3 linked regions of the Saccharomyces cerevisiae S288C genome follow. The gene in region 2 interacts genetically with the main gene of each other region. Each region holds a gene or a part of one and is shown on either strand. Other genes may lie near its edges. The genes, in order: YPL034W, SRY1 and CBP4.

The links.
Region 1: mutations in SRY1 (region 2) and YPL034W together harm fitness more than expected from each alone (negative genetic interaction), as found in Saccharomyces cerevisiae (2 studies listed by BioGRID).
Region 3: mutations in SRY1 (region 2) and CBP4 together harm fitness more than expected from each alone (negative genetic interaction), as found in Saccharomyces cerevisiae (2 studies listed by BioGRID).

Annotation. Positions count from the first base shown.
Region 1 is NC_001148.4:484,965-487,780, forward strand, and holds YPL034W (uncharacterized protein), read left to right. Parts: upstream 1-1,747; coding exon 1,748-2,245; downstream 2,246-2,816. Other genes in the region: H(+)-exporting P2-type ATPase PMA2, read left to right, coding at 1-722; SRL4 (Srl4p), read right to left, coding at 2,398-2,816.
Region 2 is NC_001143.9:16,758-19,975, forward strand, and holds SRY1 (threo-3-hydroxy-L-aspartate ammonia-lyase SRY1), read right to left. Parts: upstream 1,583-3,218; coding exon 602-1,582; downstream 1-601. UniProt on the Saccharomyces cerevisiae protein: Catalyzes the deamination of L-threo-3-hydroxyaspartate to oxaloacetate and ammonia. Shows a high specificity towards L-threo-3-hydroxyaspartate as other 3-hydroxyaminoacids, i.e.
Region 3 is NC_001139.9:845,385-848,535, forward strand, and holds CBP4 (Cbp4p), read right to left. Parts: upstream 1,022-3,151; coding exon 509-1,021; downstream 1-508. Other genes in the region: YGR174W-A (uncharacterized protein), read left to right, coding at 1,271-1,357; ERG1 (squalene monooxygenase), read right to left, coding at 1,549-3,039.

The sequences.
Region 1 (2,816 bases), on a different chromosome or scaffold from region 2:
AGACTTCTAGACAGATTTTCCACAGAATGTACTCCTATGTTGTTTATCGTATTGCCCTATCCTTACATTTGGAGATTTTCCTGGGTTTATGGATTGCTATTTTAAACAACTCTTTGGATATCAATTTGATCGTTTTTATTGCTATTTTCGCAGACGTTGCCACTTTAACTATTGCTTATGACAATGCTCCTTATGCTCCTGAACCTGTGAAATGGAACCTACCAAGATTATGGGGTATGTCTATTATTTTGGGCATAGTTTTAGCTATAGGTTCTTGGATTACTTTAACCACCATGTTCTTGCCTAATGGTGGTATTATCCAAAATTTTGGTGCCATGAATGGTGTCATGTTCCTGCAGATTTCACTAACTGAAAATTGGTTAATTTTTGTCACTAGAGCTGCTGGCCCATTCTGGTCTTCCATTCCATCGTGGCAGTTAGCCGGTGCCGTTTTCGCCGTTGATATTATTGCTACCATGTTTACCTTATTTGGCTGGTGGTCTGAAAACTGGACTGATATTGTGTCAGTCGTTCGTGTCTGGATTTGGTCCATTGGTATTTTTTGTGTATTGGGAGGATTTTACTATATTATGTCCACGTCTCAAGCCTTTGATAGGTTGATGAATGGTAAGTCATTAAAGGAAAAGAAGTCTACAAGAAGTGTCGAAGATTTCATGGCTGCTATGCAAAGAGTTTCTACTCAACACGAAAAAAGCAGTTAGTAATTTTAAACATCATCCATCTGATTTTTTTTCTTATTGATCTCCTTTTTGTTATTCCTCATTTTCATTTCAATTTGTCGATACCAAGGAAGCCAAGACGTTATAAAAGAACACGGTCAACAAAAATCAAATTAATGCCTCTTCAATTGTGCTCTGTTTGATACCTTCGATATGATGTTACAGTTTTAAAGTTTACACACAAGTTTTTAGACTAAGTGGCATCATATCTGTCAATTTTATCACACACACACACACACACACACACAAACAAACATATCCACATATCAGAAGTAGGCCGATCTTTTGCTTGATTGGATGCAAATTCATATGGAAAATTTTTTTCATATTATTTCGTGTTCTTTTGACTATTTTCCTCTCCAAAAAGGAAGAATCATTCCAATAACAACACACGAATTCCCATCCAACATGGTGAAATGACTAAATATTTTTTTTTTCGAAACATTAAATCAATCTAATTCTTAATTTTTAATAAACATATAATGCACACTTATTTACATACAAGCACATTGCACGTATTATATCAGTTTCTTCTTTTATGTTGATATATTTTTCTAATAATGTTATTATCATGTAGTCGTGTATGTGCGCCTCTCCCGCGAGAAGTCCAACACCATAAGAAATCAAATGTCAAGAGAAATAAAGAATTGTTTCCCATCATAGATAAGACTATATCAGAAAAGTGCTCATCAAAGCTAAATCTATTATGAGATGTCTTAGGCATAACAAAAAAGGGAGAGCGGTGCAAGATAAACATACCGTCGGATAAAAAGTACTGTCATTATCATCAGTGGCAAGATGCAAGGTACACACGGGCACCAAGAGATAATGCGCAAAATAAACCGGGTTTTATTTACATCTATACATACAGTAACCTCTTTGAATCATACATATCTGAAAAGACGGTAGATTTAAAATGGCTATTTATTGATGAGTCAATAGTTCGGACTAATGGTAAAAAGAAGAGACAATGGGTAGACAGAGACTTTATTCTATGTAAGATAGGAATGACCACTCGAAAAACAGTAGATTCAAGACTTTTAGAATGGCAAACCACATGCAAGCATCCAGTGATAAACTTGACTCCAGAGAAAGTCGATAAATTATACCACTTGAAATTGAAAAGTGAAAGCAAAAATATCAGTTCAAACAGGCTATTGCCCATTTCATTATCAAGCTTACAAAAAAAAATGGAGAAACTTTTCATCAAAGATAAAAGTCACTCACACAAGCCTTCCCTTCCAGATCCTAAGGTGCCAACCCTACGCACTTATAAAGATGGTGGATTTTTCATTAGCGGAAAAGGTTCAATGAAACTACCAGATATCGAAAGCGCTATTCATAAATTTTTATGGAAGAAATACGGGAAAGGATTGGTTTACTGTTATGGGTGTGATCCAACTGGAAAAAAGAGGCATACAGAGTGGTTCAATGTGCCTGTATTGGAGCTACCATCAGTACTAAGACTTATTGATTCTTATTGCCTTGGAGGAGAATCTCGTTAGACTTAAAAAAAATTTTTTGGCCTATTCTGGCCGGTTTATTCAAATTATTTATCATCATAAAAATTGTAGTGTTACCTTTCTTTTCCTTGAATTATTTATAGAAATATATGTGCTTAGCAATTTTATCACTGTTACTTCGATTTGTAGTACCCTTAAGTAAAAGAGCTTTTGAAACCAGTTATCAAAAGAATATCACCAATTGATCTTTTGCTTTCGAGAATTGTATCACCATATCTTCCCTCAAGTAGACAGTGGACGAGATGTTTCGAGATACTCGGGGAAAGTCTCTTCCAATGTGCTTCACTTTCAAAACTGGGTAAATATGCAATCAGCGTTTTTACATTCAAATTACTATCTTTCAATTTAAGCTCTGAGGTTATTCCATCGTGGAAAGAGTTTATACCACATTTCGATGTAATAAAATGTGTTCCTGATTTGCACGGTTTTAACGTCAATACCGATGATATGTTGACAATATAGAACCCCTTTGCTTTTTCTTGAGCTTCAGCTTGAACCTTTGGAAAAATGTTACTCAAGCAGAACTTAGTTATCAATATTACACTTTGTAAAT
Region 2 (3,218 bases):
CAGTTTTGGTCTTGGTTAGGTAATAATTCCTTAAAATAGAGGCTTATCCTTTCCTGTGGACCATAAATATCTTCATGCAAGATCTCGATTGATTAGTAATAAGAGCAGACGATATTGTGTGTGGAAAAGAGAATTTTTTCTGCGTATAAAATAGGACATTATGACAGTTACCTTTAATTGAAGTAGAGATATGTTTTTTCAACTTAGAAGCTATGTCTTTACTGGGTGTAAGCCTAGGAACGCTCTTCTGTTTTAGTTCAAAATATGCAAAAGAAACTAATATACCAGTAATGCTCATAGTCACAGTCAGAAGTTATATTATTAGTTTGACATAAGCAGTATTCTTCCCTCTCACACACTATCATTCTGCCAAAAAATTTTCCCACATAAGGGTGTCAGTTCAGTGAAATATAATACTAGTAGAAAAATATGTAGAGTTATCAGAGTATAAATCAGCTAGAGGCTTTTTTTGCTGAACTCACTTCAAAATCTCAACCATGTTATTAATGTTAAGTCAAATGATATATGCCGTGTGAAAGTAGACAACTAAAGCTTTCCAATTCTTCACTATAAAACTGAACTCAAAATTCAAAAGTATACACTAAATCGTTGGGCCATCTTCCTTCCCAGAGATTAAAGTAGCATATCTCTTCATGTCTACATTACCTCCACTTAGTATTATGCCTACTTTCTTCCCAACTAGCTCTTCCTTTTTTAGAAGTGCACCTGCAAATCCCAAACAAGCTGTGGGCTCAACAACCACCTTCATGCGTTCCGCAAGAAAGTGCATGCATTTTACTAGCTCTTGGTCGCTAACCGTTAAAATATCATCGACATTTTCGCGAATAATGGCAAATGTGTACTCACCGAGGTGTTGTGTTTGAGCGCCATCTGCGATAGTTTTTGGCGTATTGATATGAACAATGGAACCCGATCTGAAGGATTGTTGTCCATCGTTACCAGCTTCAGGTTCAACCCCAAAAATTTTGCAGCCTGGAGAAAGGCTTCTAGCGGCAAGTGCAGATCCTGAAAGGAGCCCACCACCGCCCAAAGGAACAAATAATGCATCAAGTTGTCCAACCTCTTCTAATAGCTCTTTTGCCGACGTACCTTGCCCTGCAATAACATCAGGATGATCGTAGGGCGGAATCAATGCAAAACCATGTTCGGCTGCTAGTTGACGCCCAATCTGCTCGCGATCTTCAGTATACCTGTTATACCTTATGATATGTGCTCCGTAACCGGCTGTAGCAGCAACTTTAAGGGCGGGCGCATCCTCGGGCATAACAATTGTTGCAGGTACATTTAATAGTTTTGCACTAAGAGCAATAGCCTGTGCATGGTTTCCTGATGAGAAGGCAATTACTCCCTTACTTCTTTTTTCATCACTTAATTTTGAAACAGCATTCATTGCTCCACGAAACTTGAACGCTCCCACTCGTTGGAAATTCTCACCTTTAAAGTATATTTGTGCTCCAAGTCGATCATTAAGCATTCGTGAAGTGAGAACCGGTGTTTTATTTACATATTCTTTAATTCTGTTGCTGGCATCCAAAACGTCTCCATAAGTGGGAACAATCATTTTTCCAACTCAATGAAAACTAAATATCTCGAACTATATTAATTATTTGTACTTTTTAAGTTTTTTTTCAATACTCCTTTATTTGAATTTTTGCAGAATGAAAATGTAACTCTTTATATTCCAAAGCTTATCTTTTTCTCACGTACCGTCCTATAGACCCTGATTTTATGATAAGAGGCTGAATTTACTAATTAGTCATTTTTTTCAGTTTTTTTGTCATAGAAGCCACATTTAAAAGAAGTCAGCCAAGTTACCTGTAAATATTAAAACAACCTGCTTAGAATGACTGTTAATTTACAGAATTTACGATAAAAATATAACTTGGCTCTAGGGCGTGATGATAGTGACAAAAAACTCGTCAAGTAAATGTTGGGAGCTTACTTGCCGTCGTTTTCTAACGCCAAAATACACGAATCATGTTTGGGAAATATAAGTGATTAGAACTTGTCCAAGGATATTGTCAAACAATAACATACTACAATAATCCTAGATCGTGTATTATTTGCGTATGGATAAATATACCTCAAGCTTTATGAGGCATAGAAAATTCATTAGAGTCACTACTTACGTCGCACTCTCGAGGATTGGAATGACGAAATCTTCTTCAGCATTTCACCATTCACCTTTTGAAGCTTCCTATCTCGTTGCTTAAGTAGAATGAAAGCATAGCAGCCCAAAAGAAAAGCCTCCCTCAGCAAGAATATTAACAAAGAACAATTCATGGACCGTTTCTACTACTTAATATCTCTATCACAACTGTCAGTCTCAATCAGTACTTAAATGACGCTGCAGAAAAAGATATCATTATTTTTATCATCCCCCTAATAAAATAAGTAATGAATCAATGCCATTAATTCGGGAACTAGTCATATACCTAAGGAATCAGGCTTTGATAGCTCTTTAATAATAATATTAGGGCATTTTTGATATGGTAAAAGATTAGATTAGGAAACCCCTTTTGTAGAGCATCTCACTACAATATCTGCAAAAACGGTCACCTTGCATAGGCAGAACACGCTACCTTTGAGTTAATTCACAGGGGAGAGCCCTTTTTTTTTCTTAGCAAAAGTGCTTAACAATCTTAATTTCTGGAATGTTTTCGGCGGATTGTTGTATATTGTTTGAATTTGTTCGTTCTAAAAAGTGAGACACCTGCACTTTCCACGCCAAGAACACTAATACCTTTAAACATGCCAGCGTACTTTAAAATGCCACGAGTCGCCCCGTACCAAACATGCTGGCGATTGTAATTTTTCGCCTTTTATTGGAATCGAGAATTCGGGCACTGTCCTTTTCTTCGTCATTTCAATGTTATAATCATTTTTATCGCCAAATTTTCTTCAATAAAAGGTCTCTTTTAAAATATGTTACTATGTTTTTTATTTTTCTATTATTTTTCTATGTGATTTTTCAGACGATTTATTCTTTGTTCGAAGGAGAACAGATGCAACGGTCAAGTTTTTACTATCCACATGAGGAGCCGTAATATTCTAAAGGCAAAAGCATGTGTGCTTGTAAAAAAAAATCAAAAAAAGTTACTGCTCCAAGCCAGCAAGCTTTCTCTTTTGCGAAATCTTTAACACGGTTAAAATCAAAGACAATTACTTCATTGACAAGGTCAATGCTAATATTTACG
Region 3 (3,151 bases), on a different chromosome or scaffold from region 2:
CATGAAAATAAAACTCTGCCTTCCTTAGCTAACCTACTCTAACGTATAAGTATCTGAACAATTGGTTTAGATCCAAGATTCCGCGCTTCCACCATTTAGTATGATCCATATTTTATATAATATATAGGATAAGTAAGATCCCGTGAATCAAGCTGATAAACCGTTTTGACAACTGGTTACTTCCCTAAGACTGTTTATATTAGGATTGTCAAGAACCTTGACATTACCCCATTGCATGATGCAATAATCTCATATAAATAACAAGCGCAAGTGGTTTAGTGGTAAAATCCAACGTTGCCATCGTTGGGCCCCCGGTTCGATTCCGGGCTTGCGCAATGTTTTTTCCATCCCCAAGTATGGGAACTAAAATAGCTAAAAATAAGTATGAAGTTATATTTTTAAACCTATTTACAGTGTACAAATAAATAATATATCATAAATGACACAGACGTATGTTTTAGGATGCAAAAGTTCAAGCTGCCCTTCCTAATTGAGTGACCCGACCCATCTACCAGAAGCGCCACCAGCTTTTAACCTGCTTATCCTGGACTATTTCCTTTGTTTTCTCCTCCGTTTCAGATCTTAGCTGAGACAGTTCATTTCTGATCCTAGCCAACTCTTCTTTTTGCACCTCCTCCGCCCTCACCTTAGCAAAGTGATCTCTGCTTTGAACGTTATCACCGTTCCTTTCCCAAGGTGATTGAAGGGGGCCCGTCTTCCAAATTGGATCGTCACTTTGAGAAGTTTCCTTAACAATTTTCATCAAAGCCTGCTGCTCCGACTGACGTAGTTTTTTCTCCCTCTCATATTGTAAACGTAATTCTGGGGAAAGCTGGCTGATTAACTGTTGATCTGTTGGCGTTGTGTACTTGAAAAGCAGAAACCCGCTTCCAATAATAGCGCCACCAATTGCATAGACTTTCAACCAACGTACCCACAATGGTCTTTCCATACCCAAATAATGCTTATACTGTCTTTGTTTTGCTATTACTGCCTCTCTAGGAGTTATCGCGCACTGCATGTATATAAAATTTTATCTTGATAAAATACCCCGGGGGATGAGCAAAAAAAGGGATATGGGGAATGAAAAGTGAGATAAACTAGCAATAATCTATTCTAATAAGTAGAACATTCACAAAGACTACTATGGTGTAATTCTGAAAGGATTTACGAGAGCACAAATACTATTATGTATAATTCTGACTGCAGAATCCGGCAAGCTTGATTTAATATCACTTAAGGAAGTAATATCGTTAATTGATAACCGAATATGAATCTCAATGCATATTTTGAAGCATATCAAGCCATTTTTCCTTTTCTGTTGGAGGCATTTTTAAGGAAAGAACAAAAAGTATAAAACACTTCGGTTAATAATAAATGATATGTGAATTTTTTTGAAAATATGTAAAATAAATAAGTAATAAATAAAAATAAGATGTGTTTATCGTAATGTACTATACAAGCCTTCCAAGCCGACTTCTGTAATAAAAAAAAAAGGTGCAGCTTAATGTTTGACGGTTCCTATCCTCTCTCCCTTATAAGCTGTAGTTAACCAATCAACTCACCAAACAAAAATGGGGTGAATACTCTAATAGCTGTGATCAAAATCATAATACCTTCCAATAAAGCCATTGGTAATCCCAAGAAACCACGTTCTTCCATGTTCAAGTAAATGGTGTAAAAAGCGACAGCGAAGAAAACCCTGGTCAATTGCAAAGGCTTTGGCAAGACACCAGACAGAAATTCAACGGGTTTGTTGACACAATCGCCACCTCTTTGGAAATATTTGAAACAACCTTTTTGTAATGCCTTCAAGTTATCGCTGTCAGCAGCGAACAAAGAATACAAAGCCACTGACAAAACGTTAATAACGGAATCGTAACTCTTTCTTTCGAAATGGTAGTCTAGTAATTCATCCAAAACCTTTTCACGGTCGCTGAAGTCTAGGTCACCTATTTTCTTAATCAACAAGACAACATCATGCAAACCGACAGTCATACCACCACCAGTCAATGGATGTCTCATATTTAGAGCGTCACCGATAACACACATACCAGTGACGTCGTTTTGTCTAGCTGGCAAGTAGGAGTTTGGCATAGCTCTAAATTTACCTTGGCTGACGGCTTCATCAAATGAAGGACGTAGACTCTTTGGAATGAAAGGTTGGACATCCTTAATCATCCAACTCTTGATATCAGCTGGGACCTTTGGAGAGTTGTAAGCACAAAGGATTCTTGTTTCTTCTGGACTGATTTGGTAAACCAAGATTGGCATATGATCACTACCAAGAATAACGTGACCGTGCATAGGAGCAGGATTCTTAGCATTGAACAAAGACATACCGACAAACGAAGAACCGACAGTTGGAACATGGTCTGGGTGCAATTCCTTTCTGAAACGTGAAAAGATACCGTCACAGATAAATGTCAAGTGGGCTTTGAATTCCACCTTGCCACGGCCATCAATGTCAACCTTGGCACCAACAACCTCATTCTTTTCATCCTTCAATATCTCAATACAGTTACCTTGCACTCTAGTAACATTTGGCTCTTGAGCAGTAATGTTTCTCAAGTTGTTCAAGAATCTACCATGAACAAAAGCAACACCCCTTTCTCTTTCATCATCTTCGTAATCCTTGATGTGAATAGTGCTGTCTTCCAAGACCTTGTCATTACCATCTTTGACCAAGTCCTTCAATTTTTCAACTTTAGGGATATCGGCCTTGTAAGGGTATGGAATATCAACTTGTTCGCCGTTGAAAAAGACGGTATAACCGGTAACAGGATATGCTTCGATGTTGTTGATAGATTGAATCATACCCAGACTTCTCAATGCTCTAACACCACCTGGTTGCATCAATTCACCAACAATTCTATCAGGCATAGCCCAGTCACGTTCTACGATAAGAACTTTCTTACCCTTTCTTGCTAGACCAGTAGCAACACATGGACCGATAACACCAGCACCGATGACAATCGCATCGTAGGTAATTGTGTTGTCGGCATTAATCAATTCAGGTGCAACGTTAACAGCAGACATGACCCTTTTCTCGATATGTTTTTCTGTGATTTTTTTTTTTCAATTGTTCGAAATAACCTGTATTGTTCAATACTGGACAATTGTTCTGATATATATATATATATATAATTTT